Canis lupus familiaris: one gene and its partners. The main gene of each other region encodes a partner of the protein of the gene in region 4 in a complex. Links are inferred from orthologs where the notes say so. Each region holds a gene or a part of one and is shown on either strand. Other genes may lie near its edges.

The links.
Region 1: DNTTIP1 (region 4) and SAP30 share a complex: the UniProt entries of both Homo sapiens proteins name them as parts of the histone deacetylase complex. The link is inferred for Canis lupus familiaris from reciprocal best matches to the Homo sapiens genes DNTTIP1 and SAP30.
Region 2: DNTTIP1 (region 4) and ZNF541 share a complex: the UniProt entries of both Homo sapiens proteins name them as parts of the histone deacetylase complex. The link is inferred for Canis lupus familiaris from reciprocal best matches to the Homo sapiens genes DNTTIP1 and ZNF541.
Region 3: the proteins of DNTTIP1 (region 4) and MIDEAS are in contact, whole or in part, in a cryo-EM structure (PDB 6Z2J), measured with the Homo sapiens proteins. The link is inferred for Canis lupus familiaris from reciprocal best matches to the Homo sapiens genes DNTTIP1 and MIDEAS. Residues at the interface, in NP_443183.1 of Homo sapiens: Pro63, Ser66, Leu69, Leu70, Ala72, Val73, Leu74, Pro76, Ser77; in NP_001036783.1 of Homo sapiens: Gln768, Asp771, Leu772, Thr774, Ala775, Ser778, Ser779, Ile802, Leu803, Leu806.

The regions. Positions count from the first base shown.
Region 1 is NC_049246.1:24,119,488-24,124,745, reverse strand, and holds the start of SAP30 (histone deacetylase complex subunit SAP30), read right to left. Parts: upstream 3,220-5,258; 5' UTR 2,906-3,219; coding exon 2,591-2,905; intron 936-2,590; coding exon 810-935; intron 388-809; coding exon 289-387; intron 1-288. UniProt on the Homo sapiens protein: Involved in the functional recruitment of the Sin3-histone deacetylase complex (HDAC) to a specific subset of N-CoR corepressor complexes. Capable of transcription repression by N-CoR.
Region 2 is NC_049222.1:109,165,087-109,170,393, reverse strand, and holds the start of ZNF541 (zinc finger protein 541), read right to left. Parts: upstream 3,245-5,307; 5' UTR 3,200-3,244; intron 3,106-3,199; exon of another isoform or gene 3,065-3,105; intron 2,931-3,064; exon of another isoform or gene 2,048-2,930; 5' UTR 1,886-2,047; intron 953-1,885; exon of another isoform or gene 872-952; intron 1-871. UniProt on the Homo sapiens protein: Transcription regulator which is essential for male fertility and for the completion of meiotic prophase in spermatocytes.
Region 3 is NC_049229.1:47,301,880-47,306,403, forward strand, and holds part of MIDEAS (mitotic deacetylase-associated SANT domain protein), read right to left. Parts: intron 2,119-4,524; 5' UTR 1,891-2,118; coding exon 439-1,890; intron 1-438.
Region 4 is NC_049245.1:33,724,485-33,729,621, forward strand, and holds the start of DNTTIP1 (deoxynucleotidyltransferase terminal-interacting protein 1), read left to right. Parts: upstream 1-1,716; 5' UTR 1,717-1,754; coding exon 1,755-1,859; intron 1,860-2,440; coding exon 2,441-2,511; intron 2,512-3,385; coding exon 3,386-3,482; intron 3,483-5,137. UniProt on the Homo sapiens protein: Increases DNTT terminal deoxynucleotidyltransferase activity (in vitro). Also acts as a transcriptional regulator, binding to the consensus sequence 5'-GNTGCATG-3' following an AT-tract.

The DNA of each region.
Region 1 (5,258 bases), on a different chromosome or scaffold from region 4:
AAACCAACAGATTTCTAGAATGAGAATTTAAAAATTATTACCCGCTATTTCTGAAAGCCAGTATTAAAAGATATTTAGAAAGCTACATACAATCCACTGAGTGGTTGTTACATAAAGCAATTTAAGAGACAGACAAACATTTCTAGGAAACTAGATTCTTCCACAATAGATTTTTTATTAACTGATCTTTCTAACTGAGCTGTATTGTTATACGTACTACATTAACAATTTCATTAGCCTTTAATAACTTTTTTATATAAACAGGCTCATTTAAAACTTCATAAATACCTCAACAAGTTGTGCTTTATTAAGTCCTGGTCTGGTTGATAGTTTGAAGTGTCTTTTGTATCTCCGAAGTGTATTTACTTGTAATTGGTATAAATCAACCTAGAAAAAATAAACATGTAAGAATTAGTTCATGCAATTTTTAAATTGTTATCTTTGATATGCATAATAGCATTTCAATTTTGGTACAACAAAAATGTAATTAAGTAACAAAAATTACATTATTTAATTAATTCCATTCCATTACTTCTTTTACATAATCAAAACTACAAATATATAGAGCACTTCAATCTTTTGAAGGTAAATACTGAGAACTGGGAGCAAAAAAAGAAGGCAATAGAGGTATAAGCATTGTGAATTGAAAACATAAGTCAAACTACAACTGCCTATTAATTGGCTATATTTAATTTTGCTTTCATTTTCAGATTTTTCGCATTAAGTATTTTTAAAATTTGTTCCTATCTTTTAATAGAAGTTTCAGAATGGAATACTTAGGATTTACATTTAACATACAGAAACTTTACCTCTGGCGTATCGATATCTTGAACAGGTGAATCTCCTCCATCATCATCACTCCCTTTTCTCTTTCTTCTGTTTCGAACACTCTGAATTAAGTTTTTATGATAATCACAAATGTAAAGATGCCTTGCCTAAAACAAAAAAGTTTCACAGACTACTTATTATTATGTAACGTGTCTACGTATTAGTAAAATACATAGGGCACAGTGAATTATTAAAAATAAAAAGTCAAAATAGGCCATTGTTAAGACAACAGCATATTTCTATGCTTAAGTCCTGTATTCAGTTAGAACATACCGTGTCTGACAATAGGGTTAAGAGGATTGGAGAGTGGGGTGGGGAGGAGTGAAAGGAAGGAAGGAAGGGAAGCAGACAAGCAGAATGAGAAATTGCAATTGTCTGGATTTTTTAATTAAACTGTAGTGAGGGTGAATTAGATTTGTTAGGTCACGCTGTTTTTTTAATAAGTGGAAAGATGATGTTGCCCACAATTCTGCTACTGACAGTATTTTCTCTAAAGAGCACATTTTAGTAGCTTCATATCCTTTCTCAGTACTCAAATTATAATCCAGATACAAAACTATCCATTTTTACAAACGAGCTACCGATTTCATATACTACTTATATTTACATCTGAATTACAAGCTTCTGAGTATTTAATGAATGTATTTGTCTGTATTACGTTTTTTTCAACCAAAGGCAATGTGAAACTATTCAAGTTTACTTGAGAAGTGTCTCCCAAGCATGACTGAAGAACTCTTTAACAGGCATAATAGATCACAAACTTTGCAAAAGCTTCAATTAAATGTAGTCTTGAGCGCTGTATGGTAACATCTGAAATACTGGGCTGCATTATTAACAGTTTAAACTCCTTTAAAAAACAACAACAACAAGCGATTAAAGACTAAGGCTTTGAAATTTAACTTGTAAACGAAGTCCAAGTTAAAATTATGCAGGGCGTATGCTAGGTTCTGGCATCTTGTTATCCATTCACCGCCAGCCAAAACTCCGCAAAGTGCCAATGGTTGTTTCTGAAAACCTCACAGATGGTCAAAGAAACACAAGAAACGGACGTGTACAACAAGGACGGTAAAGGAAATCCGGATGCTGCCGAAGGGGTGGCAGCGCCGCAGAGGCAGCGGGCTCCCCACATTCCCGGCAGCTGCGCTGGATGCTGGCGGCGTCCACCAGCCCGGCGGTCTGCACCGCGCGGGGTGAGCTCGGCTCTCTTCCCTCCGCAACCCGGCGGACGAGCAGAGGAGTCGGTCTCCACCGCGGCACCAGGGCCTCGCTTGCAGGACTACACTTTTGCCTACAGCCGGGGGTTGCTCCCCGGGGCCACGCGCCAGCTTGGGCAGCAAAACAAAGGAGGAGCGGACAGGCTGCAAGAAAACTACTCCGGGCCCTCCGAGCCGCGGTGCTCTTTGTTTCGTGTCCCGACCTCAGGGAAGGAGGAAGGGGTTGGACGGCGAGCAGGGCGGACACCCGGAACGGGGTGGGGGTGCGCGGGGGTTGGGTAGGAAGGGTGGGGGTGGGCACGCGAGGGAGAGGAGGCGGGGGGGGGGCGGGGGGAGCAGCGGACCCGCGGCCGGCTGGCGTGGGTCTGCGGGGGAGGCGGTCCGAGTTGCGGCGACTTTGTGGTTCGCGTCCTACCCGAGACCACGCGACGGGCTCGCGCCACAGCCAGGTCTAGGGGACCCCCGAACCGTCCGCCCCTGAACCCCGGTCGGCACCGCTCCGGGAGCCCCAGAGCAGGGCAGGGCATGGCCGTCCCGCCGTCACTCACGCTCTTCTCCAGCTCGATTTTCACCTTCTTCTGGGAGATGCTCTTCTGGATCCTCTTGCTGAAGCTGGCGTTGCCCGCCGCCCGGCCGCACCGCTCTCCGTCCTCCCGCAGGCAGCACAGCTGTCCGGGGCCCGGCCCGGCCGCCCCCGGGGGCCCAGCAGCCGACACCGCCCCGGCACCCGGCACCTCAGCCCCGGCGCCGGCCCCTGCCCCGTTCCCGGCCGAGGCGGCCGCGGCGGCGGCGGCGACCACGGCGGCCACTGCGGCGGCCGCGTCCCCGCCGCGGCTCATCTCCTCAGGCGTGAAGCCATTCATGTCTCCGCGTGCCGACAGAAACCCCCGCTCGGCTCGCCGCTCCCCCTCTCTGCGGAGACTCCGGGGTCTCCGCGGGGTCCCTCAGACACCTGACCCCGCCGGGGCGATTCCTCCAGCGGCACCGCCACACACCAGGCGTCCCGGTCTGCTGTTGTCCGCTGGCGCCGGGATGGGGGACAGCGTTTGGGGTCAGAAGCCAGAACCGGGCGGCGCCAGGAGTTAGGACTCCGGTCACTGTCACATGGAGACGCTTCAGCAGTTGGACCCTGGCGCCTCCGCCTCCCTCCGGCCCCCCGACCTGCGCACGCGCGACGAGCCCTCTCCTGCCCCGCCCCTTCCACTGTGTGGCAGGGCACCATGGGAATTGTAGTTCTTTGAGGGGGAATCACTCTGAGTTCCACCCCGAACTGGGCGCCTTGGAACTACTTATGCTAGCATGCATCGCGCGGCGACGGGCAGGGCTTCGGCTGCTAATTTATTTATTTATTTATTTTAAGTCAGTGGGAAAACAGGGGCGTGTGGTTAGGGGTGGTGATGTTTTCTCGCTTCTAGTCTCTCCCAGGAAGTTGCTCCGTCTTTCGCTACCGGGATTCTGCAGTGTTGGCGTTCTACTAGACAAAGCGGCCACCCCGCTCCTGAGGCGAGGCGCAAAATGTTCTGGGCGGGAAGCTAGGAGGGAAGGTGCGGCGTGAAAAAGTTTCGGGGCCGTTTTCTTACTGTGGAAAAAGAATTTTTGGTGTGGCCATGCTTTTGTGGGACACCCAAACCAAGGAGAACTCGGGGAAGCTGGCGCTCTTCGGGTCCGGGAGATGCCGCAGGTCCCGGGTCACAGTTCCATTCATTGACACACCAGCTGAGGCAAAAACGCCCTTCCGACCTCGACCGTGACAGGGCCGCTTCCCAAGTGCCTCAGCTGAAGGCCGTTTTTAAATCCTTGCACGTTCCTGCGAAGATCGGGTTTCATTTTGGGGCGATCAAAGTTGGCCGCTTCCTGCGGTGGAGCGGCTTCTTTCCGCCTCCACCCCCACCCAACCTTCACCGTTTCTCTTCTAAAGGCCCTAGAGAAAAGTGGGATCCAGGACCCTGTCCAGGGGGACGTGGAGCCCCGATATAGTTAGCGTGAGTGCTCCTCGGAAACTTCCCGGCGTTCTCTCTGCGGAGTGAAAGGCCAGAAAGAACCCGCATTTCCTGGGGTATCCGCCCGCGCCTGTGCGTGTAGAGTGCGTGCGTGCGTGTGTGTGTGTGTGTATCCGCCCGCGCCTGTGCGTGTAGAGTGCGTGAGTGCGCGTGCGTGCCCGTGGGCGCGTGCTTGTAGGGGGCGGGGCCGGGGAATGGAGCGGCTGATAGGAGCGCGTGCGCCTTTGCCGGTTGCTGCGCGTCACTGTGACTGTATCGGATGTGTCCTGTTTAGCCGTCCTTTGGCTTAAATAAAAATACGAACCAGGTTCTTTTGCAAGTTCTTTCAGGCTTGCTGAGTGAATTTAGTGATAGATGATTTTTTAAAAAAACCTAAATGTCATCTGCCCTGAAATTCAAAGCCATCCATTCCGTCTGTGCTTTTCAGTTCTAGGCTATGGCAAAGGGAAAAACAAAAAACAAAAACAAAAACAAAACGTTAAGATATTATTACGTAAATTGAATGAGCAAAAGGAAGATGCTGCATGGTAAGTATGTTGTGTTACCCTTTTTATTTTTTAAGATTTTATTTCTTCGTGAGAAACAGAGAGAGAGAGAGGCAAAGACACAGGCAGAGGGAGAAGCAGGTTCCCTGCAGGGAGCCCCATGCGGGACTCCATCCTAGGACGCTGAGATCGTGACCTGAGCCCAAGGTAGATGCTTAACCACTGAGCCACCCAGGTGCGTCTTGTGTTTTGTTTTTTAAGCTGCACTCTCCAGTAGGGTGTCTGATAGCCCAATGTGCCTATTGAAAGCTTGAAATGTGGTTATTTCTACTGAAAAACTGTTAATTTAACTTTAAATTTAAAAAACAGATTTCAGTTATTGTAAAGACTTCAAGTGTGTTTGGAACAGCTTAGATACATGAATACATTTTTTTTTCTATCTAAATTTTGTGAAATCTAAACTTAGAACCCAAGTTGAGATGTGCTGCAAGTAAGAACTGCTGACAGGATTTCAAAGACTTAGTACTAGAAGTTTTTAAAAAACTATAATGAATGGCTCATTGATACTTTTTATATTGATTATATGTTGAAATGATAATATTTTGAATTTACTGGTTTAAATGAAATATAACATTAAAGTTTACCTGTTGTTTTAAATGTGGCTACAAGAACGTTTAAATGTTTACATATGTGGTTCACATATTTTTGTTAGATAATGCTGGCTTAATCTT
Region 2 (5,307 bases), on a different chromosome or scaffold from region 4:
ATTTCAACTAGATATATTAATTTCTGGCTTTTCTTGAAAATTATTAGATTTTGCATTTCGTGATAGTTATTAGTAGGACAGAGATGAGGGATAACTGCCATTTCTGAACAGATGTTCCCAAAGATCCTTGCTTTCTTCCTGTCTGGCCCCTATAATTATGATCAATATAGATACCAACAATAGCAGCACACACTTGAGGCTTTGTCCTATGCCAGGCACTCCTGGAATCACTTATGGATCATCTAATTCCCACAACACTCCTTTGAGGCACATCCTCTGTTCTTAACCCTGTTTTTACAGATGAGGTAAATAAAGCCCAGAGAAGTTAAGTAACTGCCCAAGATCAAGGTTAGAATTCAACCCCGGGTATTCTGATGTCAAAACCGTCACATGTAACCACTCATCTATGGTAGGATTCCACACCTGAGACTGGGACTCCTGCCCCATGTGCCGTACGTCCTTTCCTAAGCTGAACAACCAAAGAACACTCCCTCCCTTGATCATGTAACCATTATAATTTAAACCATTAGGGTAACTCATCTCTTCTGCTCATTAAAAGAACAGATTTACAGCTCACATTAAGAACTAGATAGAAGACAAGGAGGAATCAGAAAACTATGACTATGCTTTCTAAGAAAATTTCTCACATAGAATTAACTAAGGGAGGAAAAGAGACCTCAAGCCTTCTCATTCCAAAAGCTGATCCTAGCATAAAATACAAATAAGCATTAACATCTAGAACAGCAGGTTTTCCAAGTGAGGCGGATGGGGGTGGGAAACCTGGGGGGTCCTCAGAGTCTTGCAGGGATTCTTCGAGTCAAAACTATTTTCATAATAATATTCAGACATTACCTGCCTTTTTCATTCTCAGTGAGACTTTCCAGAAGCTACAGGGAATATTTCAAAAGGCTGAATGCAGTAGCAGAAATAAGATTCTAGGTGACTCCAAAAGGTAAGACAATGCCACTATTCTCACGAAATTTCTTTCTGAAATATCATCTTTCAAAAAATATTTAAAATAGTCAATTTTGTTAACATAATAAGCTTATCACTTATTTTTAAATGAATAAGTAGGGATCCCTGGGTGGCGCAGCGGTTTGGCGCCTGCCTTTGGCCCAGGGCCTGATCCTGGAGACCTGGGATCGAATCCCACGTTGGGCTCCCGGTGCATGGAGCCTGCTTCTCCATCTGCCTATGTCTCTGCCTCTCTCTCTCTCTCTCTGTGTGACTATCATAAATAAATAAATGAATAAGTATTTTAAAAACGTATTAAACCTCTAATAGTGCAAATATCAGCAGTATAGAGTTCACGTGCACAAATTCTCTGGGATCTTCAATGATTTTTAAATATAAGGGGGGGAGCCCTAAGATCAAAAAGCTAGAGAACTGTGGCTGTAAAGAGGAAAAGTCCTGCATCCACATGTGCCCAAGTGGGTGAGTATCTGTGTATGCAAGTCTTACACAGAAAGAAACCCTAAACCAAATATTCCAAACTGGTGGCCAGCTGGCATGTTTTGTAAGGGCTCCACACTGCCTTTAAATACCTATTAAATTCATTGTCACCATTTACAGATCAAAAGGTTTGACATAAATATAGTGTCTCTTCTCAAAAACAATTTTTTTTTAAAGTTCTGGCAACACTGTCCTGGCATTTCCACTGACTGGTATCACTTAGATGGGGCACGTGACCTTTGGTTCATCACACTGCAGGCATTTACCAATATGCACTATACATAACCTTTTCCTTATCTGACCTCACAAAGCAGAAACTTATAATGGTTTCATCATCGGTACAGAGACTTGGGCCAATTAGAAATCCTTCTGAGAAAGGAAGGAATCCTGACAAAGAAGGGATCTGTGGACAGGGGCAAAGGGGAAAACTCACCAGGAGAAGAACAAATGAGTGAATCTCCAGGGAACAGGAGGGCCCAATTTAGGACCCACAGGGAGGGGGTTCAGGTGACCGTCAGACCACTGGATATTTCCTCCTGGAACTCCGGGTAGCAAATTCAGGACACTCATCCAACTTCTTGTGTCCTGAAAGCAGCTGGTGGAAAGGAAGGGGCATTCAGAACTTGGGTCCCCAAAGAAGCAAGCACACAGGTGTGAAACTGTGGGGATGACAGGCAATTTTTGGAAGAAGGAAGGAAGCAATACTAAATTGGGGAGATCTAGATAGGGAAAGGGTTTTGCAGTTAAGGGAGTTATTTTTGTCTTTTCCTTACTTTCCTTCCTAGGGAAGGGACCTGAGGGGTTTGCTGGGAAAAGCCTAATTGGGGTAAAACTGGTGATGGACAAAAAAGGGATTTTTGCTGAAGAGGTCGAGAAGAGCGTTGGAAAAACAAGTATTACATGAGAAACTGGAAGAACAGAGCTCCTCTGCTATCAGTGGAAAGATAGGACAAAAAGGGGGGCTCTTGGTGGGCAGAAAATTTTTGCTGGAAAGAGATCCTGAATGGAGGAAAAATCCAGAAAAGAAAAAAATATATATATATATTTATATTCTTTTTTGCTAGAGAAAGTTTCTAAAAGGAGGTTGAAGGGTATAATCAAAGAAGAGAAGAGATTTTTGGTTTTGCTGGAAGATCCTAAAAGAAAAATTCGGGTCCCCTATTCAGGAGGAAAGGTGATTTTTAGCAGAAGGCCTGGAAGCTAGAGCGAATGCAAGGCCGCGGTGCAGAAAGCGCCGAGGTCGGTAGGGCCCGAGGCGCGAGCCGGGGGGGGGCTGCGAGGGGGCAGTTGGGGCCTGCGGGGCGGGGGAGGTAAGGAAGGGGATGCAGTGGGCCAGGGGCCCCCCCAGGAGAGCCTTCTCCAAGGGCGAAGGGCCTGCGGGGTGCAGCGGGGCCCGGAGCTGTTGGGGTGCAGAAGGTGCGTGCGTGACGCGGGGTGAGGGGCGCCCGCCGCGCCTGCTGCGCTCCTCGAAAGGGAGATGGGCCCCCTAAAAAACAAATATATAAACGAATTAGATTTTAAGGGGGGGGAGGGGTTGAAAAGTGAGGAGGGGCGGGAAGGGGGGGGTAGGGAGGAAAGGGAGGGGGCAGGGGCAGCAGCAACCGGGTTTTACCCGCCCCCGGGGGCTCGCGCGCCGGCCTCGAGCCTCGCGCCGGGCGGGCCTCCCAGCGGCCCCCTGCCCCCCTCGCGCCGCCCGCCTCCGGGCGCGCACGCGCACCTCAGCCCGCCCCCGGAGCGGCCCGCTCACCCGCGGCGGGGGCGCGCGTGCGTGGCTGCGGGTCCCCCCACGACACCCAGGGCGGCCTCGCGCGCCCCTCGCGCCGCCCGGGCTCCCGGCGCGTGCCGCCCGGCGGCGAGGTCTCCGCAGCTATTGGGCCTCGGACGGGAGGGGGCGGGGCCACGCGAGGGGCGGGGCTTGGTGCGGTCAGGTGACCGACGGCAGGCGGGAAAGGAGGCGGTTGGTCGCCATTTTGCGAGGGGGGCAGTTGAGGCTGGGAGAGAGTCAAAGTGGAGCCCGGGAAGGGCCTGCGGCGGGGGCGGGGACGGGGGTGGCGAGGGGCCGGCCTTCCGGGCTCCCCGACACCCGCACGCGGAGGCCCGGAGTCGGTCGGCTCCGGCCATTGTTCCTGGAGGGCGGCGTTAGAACGCAGCGGCGGGGGACTCGGGCTCCCAGCGGCCGCTCCGAGCTGCGGTGGCCCGCGGTGGGGGCTGCAAGGGCGGGGTCCCGCCCGGCCGGGTCTCGGGGTCCCTCGAGGCAGCCGCGGCGCGAGCGGGAGCCGCGAAGACCTGCTCTTCGGTGGGCTGGGAAGATGCGGCTACGCGGCCCCGTCGTGCCGGGGGTGGGGGTGGGGGTGGGGGTCCAGCTCCCCGCTGGGTCCTGCTGGGCGGAGGGATGGGACCGGGGTGAGCCGTGGCCTGAGGGTGCTACCCCAGAGCCCCCAAGACGGGCAACTCATCCCCTAGGAAGTGAACCCCGACCATCTGAGGAGTTCGAGAGCAGCTTTGCAGGCGCCTGGGTGGGAATGGGGACCCCCCCCCCCGTACCGGAGCATAAGGGCATCTGATTGGGGTGATGGAAAGATTCTAGAAGTGAGCGGCGGTGGTTGCACGCCGTGCTGAATTCACTAGAAAAGGTTGGATTTTATGGAAATAATATCTCAGTAAAGTTTTGTTGATTTGATTTTTTTTTTTTTTTGATCCCTGGGTTAGACGGACGGAACAGAGAGGATAAGAAAAAGACCAGCATTCTACTTTTGGATTCCTTCATTGAGCAAATATTTATTGAGCTTCTGATCTGAGATAGAGCAGACGGAGCAATGTCTGAGTCAGACGCACATTCCCGCTCGAGCTTGTGTTCTCAGCAGCGCTGTCCAAATGATACAGGATGCAATGACATGAAATTAGCTTTAATAGTACAACCTAAACCAAAATGTTGGGGCACCTGGGTGGCTCAGTTGGTTAAGCACCTGCCTTGGGCTCAGGTCGTGATCTCAGGGCCCTGGGATCCAGCCTGGCATGGGTCACACTGCTCAGTAGGGAGCCTGCTTCTCCTTCTTCTGCCTACCACTGCTTACTTATGCTCTCTCTCTGTGTGTCAAAAAATAAAATTGTAAAAAAAAAACACAAAATGTTATTTCAGCATGTAATCAATACAAAATTTTTAATAAGTTCCTTTTTTTTTTTTTTGGAAAGTCTGGACATCTTAATCCAGAGCAGTCACATTTTGAGTAGAGCCACAGGTAGCTTAGTGACTCTGGGACTGAAGAGCATACCTCCAGTAGGAGACAGGAAAATACATTTAGAATGCAATGTGGTTATACTTTAAAGAAGAAAAGAGAACGGAGATTATCAGAGGATGCTATTTGATAACAGGTCAGTGACGGTCTCTCTGGTGAAGTTACACTGAGCAGAGACCTGAAGGAAAAGATTTTAAAAATAGCTGGTGGAAGAGCAAGTGCAAAGGCCCTGAGACAGGAAGACGTGGATCCATTTGAATAATAACAGAGACCAATGTGGCTGCATCTATGTGGACAAAGAAAAGGGTATACTAGGCATGGATTGTGTAACGCCTTGTAAGTTCTGCAAAGACAGGAATTAAACACCTTTCAATTTAGGAGAGTTTTTTTTTTTTTTTTTTTTTTACTTATATAGCAAACATTTTAGAATATGGAATTTTTTTTTTAAGATTTCATTTATTTATTCATGAGAGACACAGAGAGAGAAAGAGACAGGCAGAGGGAAAAGCAGGCTCCATGCAAAGAGCCTGATGTGGGACTTGATTCCGGGTCTCCAGGATCTCACCCTAGGCCAAAGGCAGGCGCTAAACCACTGCGCCACTCAGGGATCCTGGTTCAT
Region 3 (4,524 bases), on a different chromosome or scaffold from region 4:
TTCTCTTAAATCAACTTGATTGCAGTAAAATTTACATACAATAAAATGCACCTATTTTTAATTAGTTTGAAACATTTCGACAAGTATAATCACCTGTGTAACCACTGCCACCTTCCTATTTTGGTATATGTGATCTGGCAATGGTTTCACCTGCCCCTACTCCCAATCCCTCATGTGCCAAATGAAGAAGCCAACCCATGATAGCGTATCGCCTGCCAACCTGCGTGTGTAAATGTTATCTTTCCTTCGGGATGAACGACCTATGTTCTTTGCACACAGGGAGTTCAGAACTCCCAGAAGCCTATGGGTTCTTTCAATTTCCTTCAATGAAATGAGGAGACTGCCCTGTAGACTTGCAATCACTTGCTCTCCCCGGGCCCCAGACACAGCTCACCCTGCCCTCTGCCAGGTCAGGCCTCCATCCCATGCCACTCTCACCTTTGCGTTCTGCAGTGAGGCCAGCTCCACTGCCTTCTGGGCCAGGGTCAGCAAATTGGCTTCCTGGGATGCCCGGCGCCTCCGTCGAGTGCTCTGGATCACCCCACCCCGTAGCACCTGCCCACAGTCCCCAGTGCCCACTGCCCGCATGCTCTCCTCGTTGCCCATTGTGGGAGCCTCCCGCTCCCGACCGTTGGGTGCCAGTCTCTCCCCTTCAGACAGCACCTGCGACTCCCTCAGCTCCAGTGGGAATCCCAGAGCTTCAGGATGCGGCTGCCCCAAGGGGCCGGGTGGTGGCTGCTGTGGGGGCCAGGGGTGTAGGAACAGGTTGCTGGTGGGCTCCTGTCCAGGTTGGGTGCCAGCCACATCCAGGGGGGCGGAAGGCAGGACGCCCTCCTTAGAGAGGCGGCGAGAGCGTCGGGGGAAGGCGATCTGGGACTGAGGTAGCACAGGCTGTGGGGCTGAGTCCTGCAGGAGGGCCTTGCGAAGTTCCGGGTTCATGTCAGGGTTGGGGGGGAAGGGGTAGGGCGCCATGCTGTGGTGAGCCAGGTGGGACTGCCCCAGAGGCCCGGCCGGCTGCAAGCCAAAGTCCTGGGGCTGCTGAGAGGGTGGCTGCTGCATGGGATAGAAGTTCTCAAAGAGCTGCATCTGGGGAAGGGCGGCCTGTTGCTGCTGCTGCTGCTGCTTCTGTGGGGGGAAGGCCGCCACGGGGTTGGGGGGCGGTGGGCCCTGCCGGAAGACCTGCCGGTTCACCTGGTGGCCAAACGCCAGCTGGAAGGGCTGCAGGGGCAGTGTCTGGTTGGCGGGCTTCTTGGCCACATGGAAAGAGTTCAGAGGCGTCTGGGGCCTCCCTACATCCAGCTGCATTTTCTGTGGCATCATTGGCCGCACGGCATTTCCGTAGCGGTCCAGCTGCGGCCCACCTCCTTTCTCCCGCTTCAGTGCCTCTGGGTGGTTGTAGTAGGTAGAGACCCCCATGCCAGGATGCGGGCTCCCCTTGGGTCCACTGTAGAGGGGCAGGCTGTGGCGGTTCCATGTTGTGTGGGGTGGGGGCTGGCCTGGCTGCTGCTGCCAGCCACTGTCACTGACACCCCCACCGCCTCCACGCTCGGGGCCCCGGCCTGGAGCCATCACAGAGTTGGGCCACTTGACGGAGCCCACCTGCTGGGACAACATGGCTGCCGTGGTCCGCTCGGAACTGTACACCACGGAGTTTAGCAGGGCCAGGCTGTTGGGAGGGGGCAGCTCCACGGGCTGGGACACGGGGGCGGCCCCTACGGGACCCTCGGGCCCAAAGTAAGGCTCCTCCTTCACTCTGGTGGACTGTGGAGGAGCTGCGGGCTGCTGTGGGGCCTGCAGGGGTGCGGGCTGCTCCTTGGGAGCTGGTTCCTGATCCCCAAAGAGGCAACGCTTCCGCTTGTTCTGAGCCTTGGGCTGGGCCTGGAGGTTCATGGTGTGGCCAACTGGGCCCTGGCGGTGAGCCCTACTTCACCAGTTGCCCATCCCCTGTGGGAAGGTCCTGCTGGAAGCCCAGCTCTTGTCCAGGAGCCAGTGGGGGCAGAGCAGGGATGAGGTCAGACACAGGGAGAAAGAACCGTTGGCTCTTCCTTGCTCTTCGTGGAGAGGCTCTTGGGCTTGTCTACTTTTCCCAGTTCATGATGTTCCACGGGACCCTGGAGCCTGCAGACAGAAGAATGATAGTGTCAGTCACAGCCTCTCAGGATGCCCCAGATGTCAGCACACATGTGAGGGAGGGGCCCAAGTTCACAGAGCAGCCCTGGTGAGGCAGGAGCCAGGGCCCCGGGGGAATTACCAGAAGGCGGCGCTTTGTGACTCTCTTCATCCCACCACCTCACCCTGCAGCATTTGGGTGTGTGATCTGTACACTACACAAAGGCACCTGCCAGGGAACAGGAGAGGCTGAGACCCAGGTGGAGAAGCCCCTGCAGCCAAGGTGGGAAAAGGTGCAACAAAGTCTTCCTCTTAGGCCAGGCCTGGCTACCCATTGGCTGAGCACAACTGTCCAACGCAGTAGCCTCCTCACCAGACCCAGAAGTTTTATCCAGACGGTGCCTCCTCTGATGCTCCAAGCATATCTCAGACGCAGGAAGTGGAAACAACAGGGGTCATTCCTAACTATGCGGTTGTTCCAGGCAGGGGAGCCCACCACGTCCTTGCAGAGTGCAGCACCCAGGGCTAGGCTCCCGTCCTTTGCACTGAGGCATGTAGGTGAGGCTGCAGAAGGGTGTGTGTTCTAGCAACACCCCTGGGAGGAGCTGCTGGGTGGGACTGTGGCTGCCGTAGTCTTCCCTAAACCAGCACAGAACCTGTTTTGCAGCCCTGGCTGGCTGGGGGCAGGATCCAGCCTGGTACCTGGTCAGCAATCCCCACCTCTCCTCCCCTCCCAAAGAGCTCCCAGTATCCAGAGCTAAGGACTAGCGCCACTGCAACATGGAGGAGATGCAGATTGCTAGAATTTAGGCCTGTAATGTTTTTCTGTGACATGGTATGACTTTAACTGTTCACAGTGTCTGTGTTTATTTTCTAACTTGATTTTAAAAAAACTTCAATACACAGGTTGCTCTATTTATCCTGCTACAGGACAGCCAAAATCAAGACCAGCATTTTATAATTTACATGTATTTTTATTACCTAAATGTGTAACTCACATGTATTTTCAAAGACTTTGTCTTTCTTCAGAAAGGGCTTTTTTTTCCTTCCTCCCTGGTTAGTTGGTGAGGGTGGGAGCTACGCGACCTCCCTCTTCCCCACACTGCTAAAATTCTGGTCCTGAGCCAGTCAGGCCAGGAGGGGTGAGGAGGGGAAGCTCAGGAAGCCCGGGGGAATAAATCTGCAGGTCCAGACCAACCTCAGAGCTCAGGCCCTAGAAGCTCCAGGTCCTACTTTGCAGTCCCGGAGTTCCCAGGAAACCAGCCCAGCCAAGGAGGGCTGGGCCAGGGCGGCAAGGGCAGGCTCTCCGTGCGAGGCCCCCTATCACCCGTTCACAGGCTTCCGCAGCTCCCCGGCCCTTCCCCTCTCAGCGCAGCAGTGACTCACTGCAGCCACCCTCCCTTCCCCACCACCTGCCTTTCACTTTCACCAGCACCCAGAAGGGGAGGGACTTCCTCCTGCATTTCCTTCCTCAGCTCCCAGCCCTGAAGCCAGCCAGCCAGAGCTTCCCGTGAGCACCCCCTTCGTCTTCACTTATGGAAGTCGGTGGAGGGAGAGAAAGAGGCTGGGTGGGCATCCAAGTCACTCTGGCCCTGGCGGCACGGGGACAATTTGAGCAGGCAGGGAGTGCAGAGGGCCGCGGAAACTACCTTTAGAACCAACCCCTTCAAGGCAGCTCGGGTGGCTCAGCGGTTTAGCACCGCCTTCAGCCCAGGGCGTGATCCTGGAGACCCGGGATCGAGTCCCACGTCAGGCTCCCAGGATGGCGCCTGCTTGTGTCTCTGACTCTGTCTCTCTCAAGAATAAATAAATAAAAATCTTAAAAAAAAAAAAAAAAAAGAACCAACACCTTTAAACTCTCAGTCCCTGACAGCCAACTCGATTCAGAGCAGAGACCCCAAAGCCAGCCCCCCGGCCCCCTCAAGGAAAATAGCCCTGGGCGCCACAGTGAAGCGGCAGCCTGGGGGCCGTCTTGGCTACAGGAGTTGGCTCTGCCTCTCCAAATGAGCGTGAGAGAGCAAACTAGAGGTCTGCGTGTGCAGAAGCAAGACAGAGGAAGGAAGGATGTGCCCGTGGGGCAGGGGAGGGCGCCGCGCCGAGGAGGGGCTGCAGGGCCACGTGCCTCCAGGGGGCCTGAGAGCCCTTCGGGTGCTCACGTGCACTTGTGCTGCCCCTGCCCTGACTGGCACAGGTGGCCCCCCTTCCCCAGCCACGGGCCCGCTGCCTTTGAGCCAGGGCACCAGCTCAGGGACACCGGGACTGGAGGAAGGGGAGGCCCACGTGGCAGATGAGCCTGGGTGCACATGTGAGAGCGTGTACCTGGTGGGGGGTACACAGGCACCAGGCGAGGGGGGTGGGGGAGGTGGCCACCCGGAGCCTGGGGAAGGGTGAGTTCTGTAGGTTGGGTTGAGTGAG
Region 4 (5,137 bases):
GCTCAGGTTGTGATCCCGGGCTCCTAGGATCAAGTCCTGCATTGGGCTCCCCACAGAGAGACGACTTCTCCCTCTTCCTATGTCTCTGCCTCTCTCTATGTGTCAAATAAACAAAATATTTTTTAAAAAAATAAAAAATAGGGCAGCCCTGGTGGCGCAGCGGTATAGCGCCACCTGCAGCCTGGGGTGTGATCCTGGAGACCCCGGATGAGTCCCACGTCAGGCTTCCTGTAAGGAGCCTACTTCTCCCTCTGCCTGTGTCTCTGCCCCTCTCTTTCTGTCTCTATGAATAAATAAAATCTTTAAAAAATAATAATAAAATAAAAATAAAGCAAAAATATCCACTATAGAGCCAGAGTTTGGTGCCAAAGAGTTGCCTTATTGTTTTAAGGTTGATATTGGACCATGGAGATAATTAACATTTGTTGATAACCTAACATGTGCTTTATATGTATTATCTATTTTAATCCTCACAATAATCTTGCAGAGGTAAGAAAACTGGTTCAGAGGGGTTGAGAAAGAATGACCAACGTCATAAAGCTAGTAAATGGTGGTTACTGGAATTTAATAATAGCAGTGACAGATAGCATTGCTTGGGGGTTTACCTGTGCCAGAGTTCTTCACATGAATTAGCTCACTTAATCCTTAAGTGCAACCCTATTAGTTAGGTACCATTGTCCCCACTCTACAGATAGGGAAACTGAGGCACAGAAAGAAACCTGGATCACACAGAGGGTGGTAGACCAAAGGCAGGCAGACCAATTCCATAGTCAATATTCTTAATCACCATATCATGCTGGATTTGAACTCATATCTTTCTACATTAAAAACTCAGGTACTGGGGCGCCTGGGTGGCTCAGCGGTTGAGCGTCTGCCTCTGACTCAGGTCCTGATCCCAGTCCAGGGATGGAGTCCCTCATCGGGCTCCCTCCAGGGAGCCTGCTTCTCCCTCTGCCTATGTCTCTGCCTCTCTCAGTCTCTCATGAATAAACAAAATACAAATAAAAACTCATGTACGTTTTACTATTCCACATTGTGACCTTGGAAAAGGAACTTTCTCTACTACCCGTAAATCGATCCAGTTCTATTTACGGACATCCTACCTCTAAGCCAGAGCTAAGGGGAGCTTTGCGAAACTCCATAGCTGTTAAACCTCTGCATCCCCGCCCATCCCAGGATCACCTTCCTGGAGAGAGAAGCCCAGGTCGCTGGGGCTTGGGAGAGTCCACGGGCCAAGACCCAACCTTCATTATGATGCCTTTAGATGCAAGAGGCATCCCCTGGAGCCTAGGCCTCGAGGGACCCGGTGGGTGTTTGGAAGGGCATGGGCCAGACCCCCTCTTGAATTTTCGGGTCCCCGCATTAGGCGCACTCTACGGCTTTCAAAGACTGAACTGTGGGCCCCGCTGTGCTCCCCTCCGCACCTAAGCTCCAGCCCCGAGAGCCCGCTCTCGTCCTTCCTGCCCCGCACTTCTCCACCCGCCTTGGCCCAGCGGGGAGCGCTCCCGGGCCAAATACCCACAGTCCGCACCCGAGGAGCCGGCCGGGCCGCAGAAGAAGCCCCCGCCGCGCGGCTCACAGCGCCTGCCTGCTTCCGGGCCCCAGCGGGACGCGGCCTTGCGGTTCCCATGGAAACCCCGCGGCTCGCCGCGTCGCGCTTCCGGGCCGGCTCGCGGCGCCCTCCAATGACGTCACAGGGCCACTTTCCGGCCGGTGGCAGAGTCGGGCTGAGGTTGGGGGGCGCCGGAGGAGCCATGGGGGCCACTGGCGACGCCGAGCAGCCGCGGGGACCCGGCGGGGCAGAGCGGGGCGGCTCCGAGCTGGGCGACGCGGGCGCAGCGGGGCAGCTGGTACTCACGGTGAGGGCGCCCCCGGGAAGGCCGGGGCCGGGGCTGGGGCTGGGCTCGGGCCGGCTGGGCCTCGGGCTCCCGGGACCCTGGCCCGCGGGCGAGAGAACGCGGCGGCTGGTGCTGCCCAGGGCGGTGGCGTTTTCGCAGTCCGACCACCCGGATTCAAATTCTGGTGCCGCCCTCCAGGCTAGGCGATGTGAGCCGGTCCTGTCACCTCTGAGCTCCAGTTTCCTCTTCTGTAAAATGGAGAGGATTGGTGCCTGCCTCGTAAAGTTGTTACGGGGATGGGGTGTAAAGGCGAGCAGAGCGCCCAGCACGCTAGCAGCCCCAGAGTGGTCCCTCGGTAAACACTGGTTCCCTTCCCTCTCCCATCCCAGAAAGGGTGGGGTTGGGACTTTTCCAGGCAGGAAACTTCAGTTCCTCCACCCCGGCAGGACCTTTCAACCGCTGCCCTCCCGCCTACCCGAGGGTGGGAGAGATGCTGACAGTACCTGAGAAGCAGAGGTGTCCACGTTTAACTTCATACTCACCGTCCACCTGTACCCTAGTGTCACAAGCCTCGGTGACATCTGTTCCCTTGGTCCCCACAGAACCCTTGGAACATAATGATAAAGCACAGGCAGGTGCAGCGAAGGGGCCGCCGCTCACAGATGACAACAAGGTAAGGCTGGGCCTGAGTATTGACCTCCCCGGCATTGATTGGCTTGGATGGCACCCTTGGGGTCCCCACTACACAGAGCTGAAGAGAGATCAGCAGCTGTTAGAAGGAGCAATGGACTAGGAAAAAGGAGACTCGGCTTTTGTCACTCTGGATGTGACCTTGGTTGAATCATTGCCACCTCTGAACTCTTGTACAAAATAGGAGGAATCATGAATTCAGCAGTGCCTAAGATCCTAACACTCACTCGCTCTGTGGTTGAGGGCTCTAAAGAGGCAAAATAGCATAGAGGTTTAGAAAAAAGTGGGGCTGGGGCACCTGGGTGGCACAGTGGTTGAGCGTCTGTCTTCAGCTCAGGGCATGCTCTCAGTCCAGGGATGGAGTCCTGCATCGGGCTCCCTGCATGGAGCCTGCTTCTCCTTCTGCCTGTGTCTGCCTCTTTCTATGTGTGTCTCATGAATAAATAAAATCTTTTTTTTTATTTTTTTAAAGAAAGAAGTGAGGCTAATAGTAGTATTTATCTCAGTGAAGGGAGAGAGCACAATGGACCCATGGGATCCTGATTAAATTTCTTGACCTGAGTAGTGATTAAGTGGATGTTCACTAAAACTATTTGTTAAAATGAAAAAAAAAAAAAAGTGTATAGACTTTGTATTTCATAAAACACTTTAAAAAATAATACTTATTTTGTAGGGTTCTTATGAAAATGGAATAAAGCCATACATATGTTTCATTTGCACAGAACCTGGGCACATAGCTTGTTTTCAATAGAAGCTATTACTGTTATTAAAGGAGCCTGTGTCAATAATTGGCTGGGCAGACTAGGAAAGATATGTTTGGGACATGACCCCTGACTGTGTCTCCCTCCTGAATGCAGTTTCACAGATCCTGCCATTTCCATGGACCTCCTTCGAGCTGTCCTGCAGCCTAGCATCAACGAGGAGATCCAGACGGTCTTCAACAAGTATATGAAGGTGAGAGGTACAGAGATGCAAGGGCAGACCTTTCCTACATTACAATCCCCCTCGCTCTTTTTGGTACAAACAGATGAGTCAGGTTTTCCAATTCTGAATCCCTGAGAACTTTTTTCGCCCTCTTTAGAGGTAATTTGAATACCTCTTTCGCCAAGCTATTATGAGGATAAAATAATTTAAGTTTAATGTGCTCTGCACCATGTTACAAACAAGTGTCTTTCTTATTTGTTTAACAGGATCAACATTATTATTATTTAAAATTCCTTTCTAGGCCTATAAATAAACTTCCACATGACTCTACCTGATTGTCCCCTAGATGCTTGAAACAGCATGTCCAGAGCTGAACTCTTTCTTCCTAAACCTCTTCCTCTTATGTTTGTTTATTCATTCAAGAAGCATGTACTGAGCACCCACCATTATAGCAGGCACTGAGGATGCAGCAGCAAACAAAATGAACAGTGTCTCTGCCCTCTTTAAACAAATAAGTACTATGCTAGGAAATGCCAGAGAGAAGGGGGAGAGAGTAACCAGTGGGGAACAGTAGTGCTGTTTCATAGATTGTGTCCAGGAAAGCCACATGTGAGCAGACACCTGAATAAAGGGAGAGAAAAACAAGCTGTGTGGACACATCAGGGGAAAACACCCCAGGCAGAGGGAACAAGAGCAGACACCCTGAGGCAGGAGTGTGCTTGGACACTCAAAGCAACAAAGTCTCGGGCAGCCCCAGTGGCTCAGCGGTTTAGTGCCACCTTCAGCCCAGGGTGGGATCCTGGAGACCTGGGATCAAGTCCCATGTCAGGCTCCCTGTGTGGAGCCTGCTTCTCCCTCTGCCTGTGTCTCTGCCTCTCTCTCTCTCTCTCTAATGAATGAATACATAAAATCTTTAAAAAAAAAAAAAGTCTCCAGTGTGGCTAGAGCAGACTGAGCCAGGAGGAGAATAAGGAGAGGTAATCAAAGAAAATAGGGGCCCAGTTCATGCAGAACCTTTGAGGCCATGGTAAGGATATTGGGGTTTACTCTGAGTAAAATAGAGGCCCTTTTAGACTTTTGGGCAGAGCACTGGATCTAAACTTTTTTTTTTTTTATCTAAACATTTTTTTAATATTTTTTATAGATTTTATTTATTCATGAGAGACACAGAGAGAGAGAGGCAGAGACACAGGCAGAGGGAGAAGCAGGCTCCATGCAGGGAGCCCAACGTGGGACCTGATCCCGGGTCCCCAGGATTATGCCCCGCCAAAGGTGGCGCTAAACCACTGAGCCACCAGGGCTGCCCTGATCTAAACATTTTTAAAGGGTCAGTCTGACTGATGTGAATCACCTGCAGGAGAATCAGTTAGGAGGCTTGAGAGGATAGTGGCTTGAGTGTTAGCAGTAAGGGTATTGGGAAAGAATCCCATTCCATATGTATTTTAAAGGGGTGTGGGAGGTTCAGTCAGTTAAGTGTCTGCCTTTGGCTCAGGTCGTGGTCTTAGGGTTCTCGGCTTAAGCCCTTCATCAGGCTCCCTGCTCAGTGGGGAGTCTGCTTCTTCCTGCCTCTCCCTTCACTTGTGCTCACTCTCTTCTTTCTCTCTGTCAAATAGATAAAAATCTTTAAATAAAAAATAAATAAGACAAAGGTATTGCTGATGATTCAGATGTGCAGGGTAAAAGAA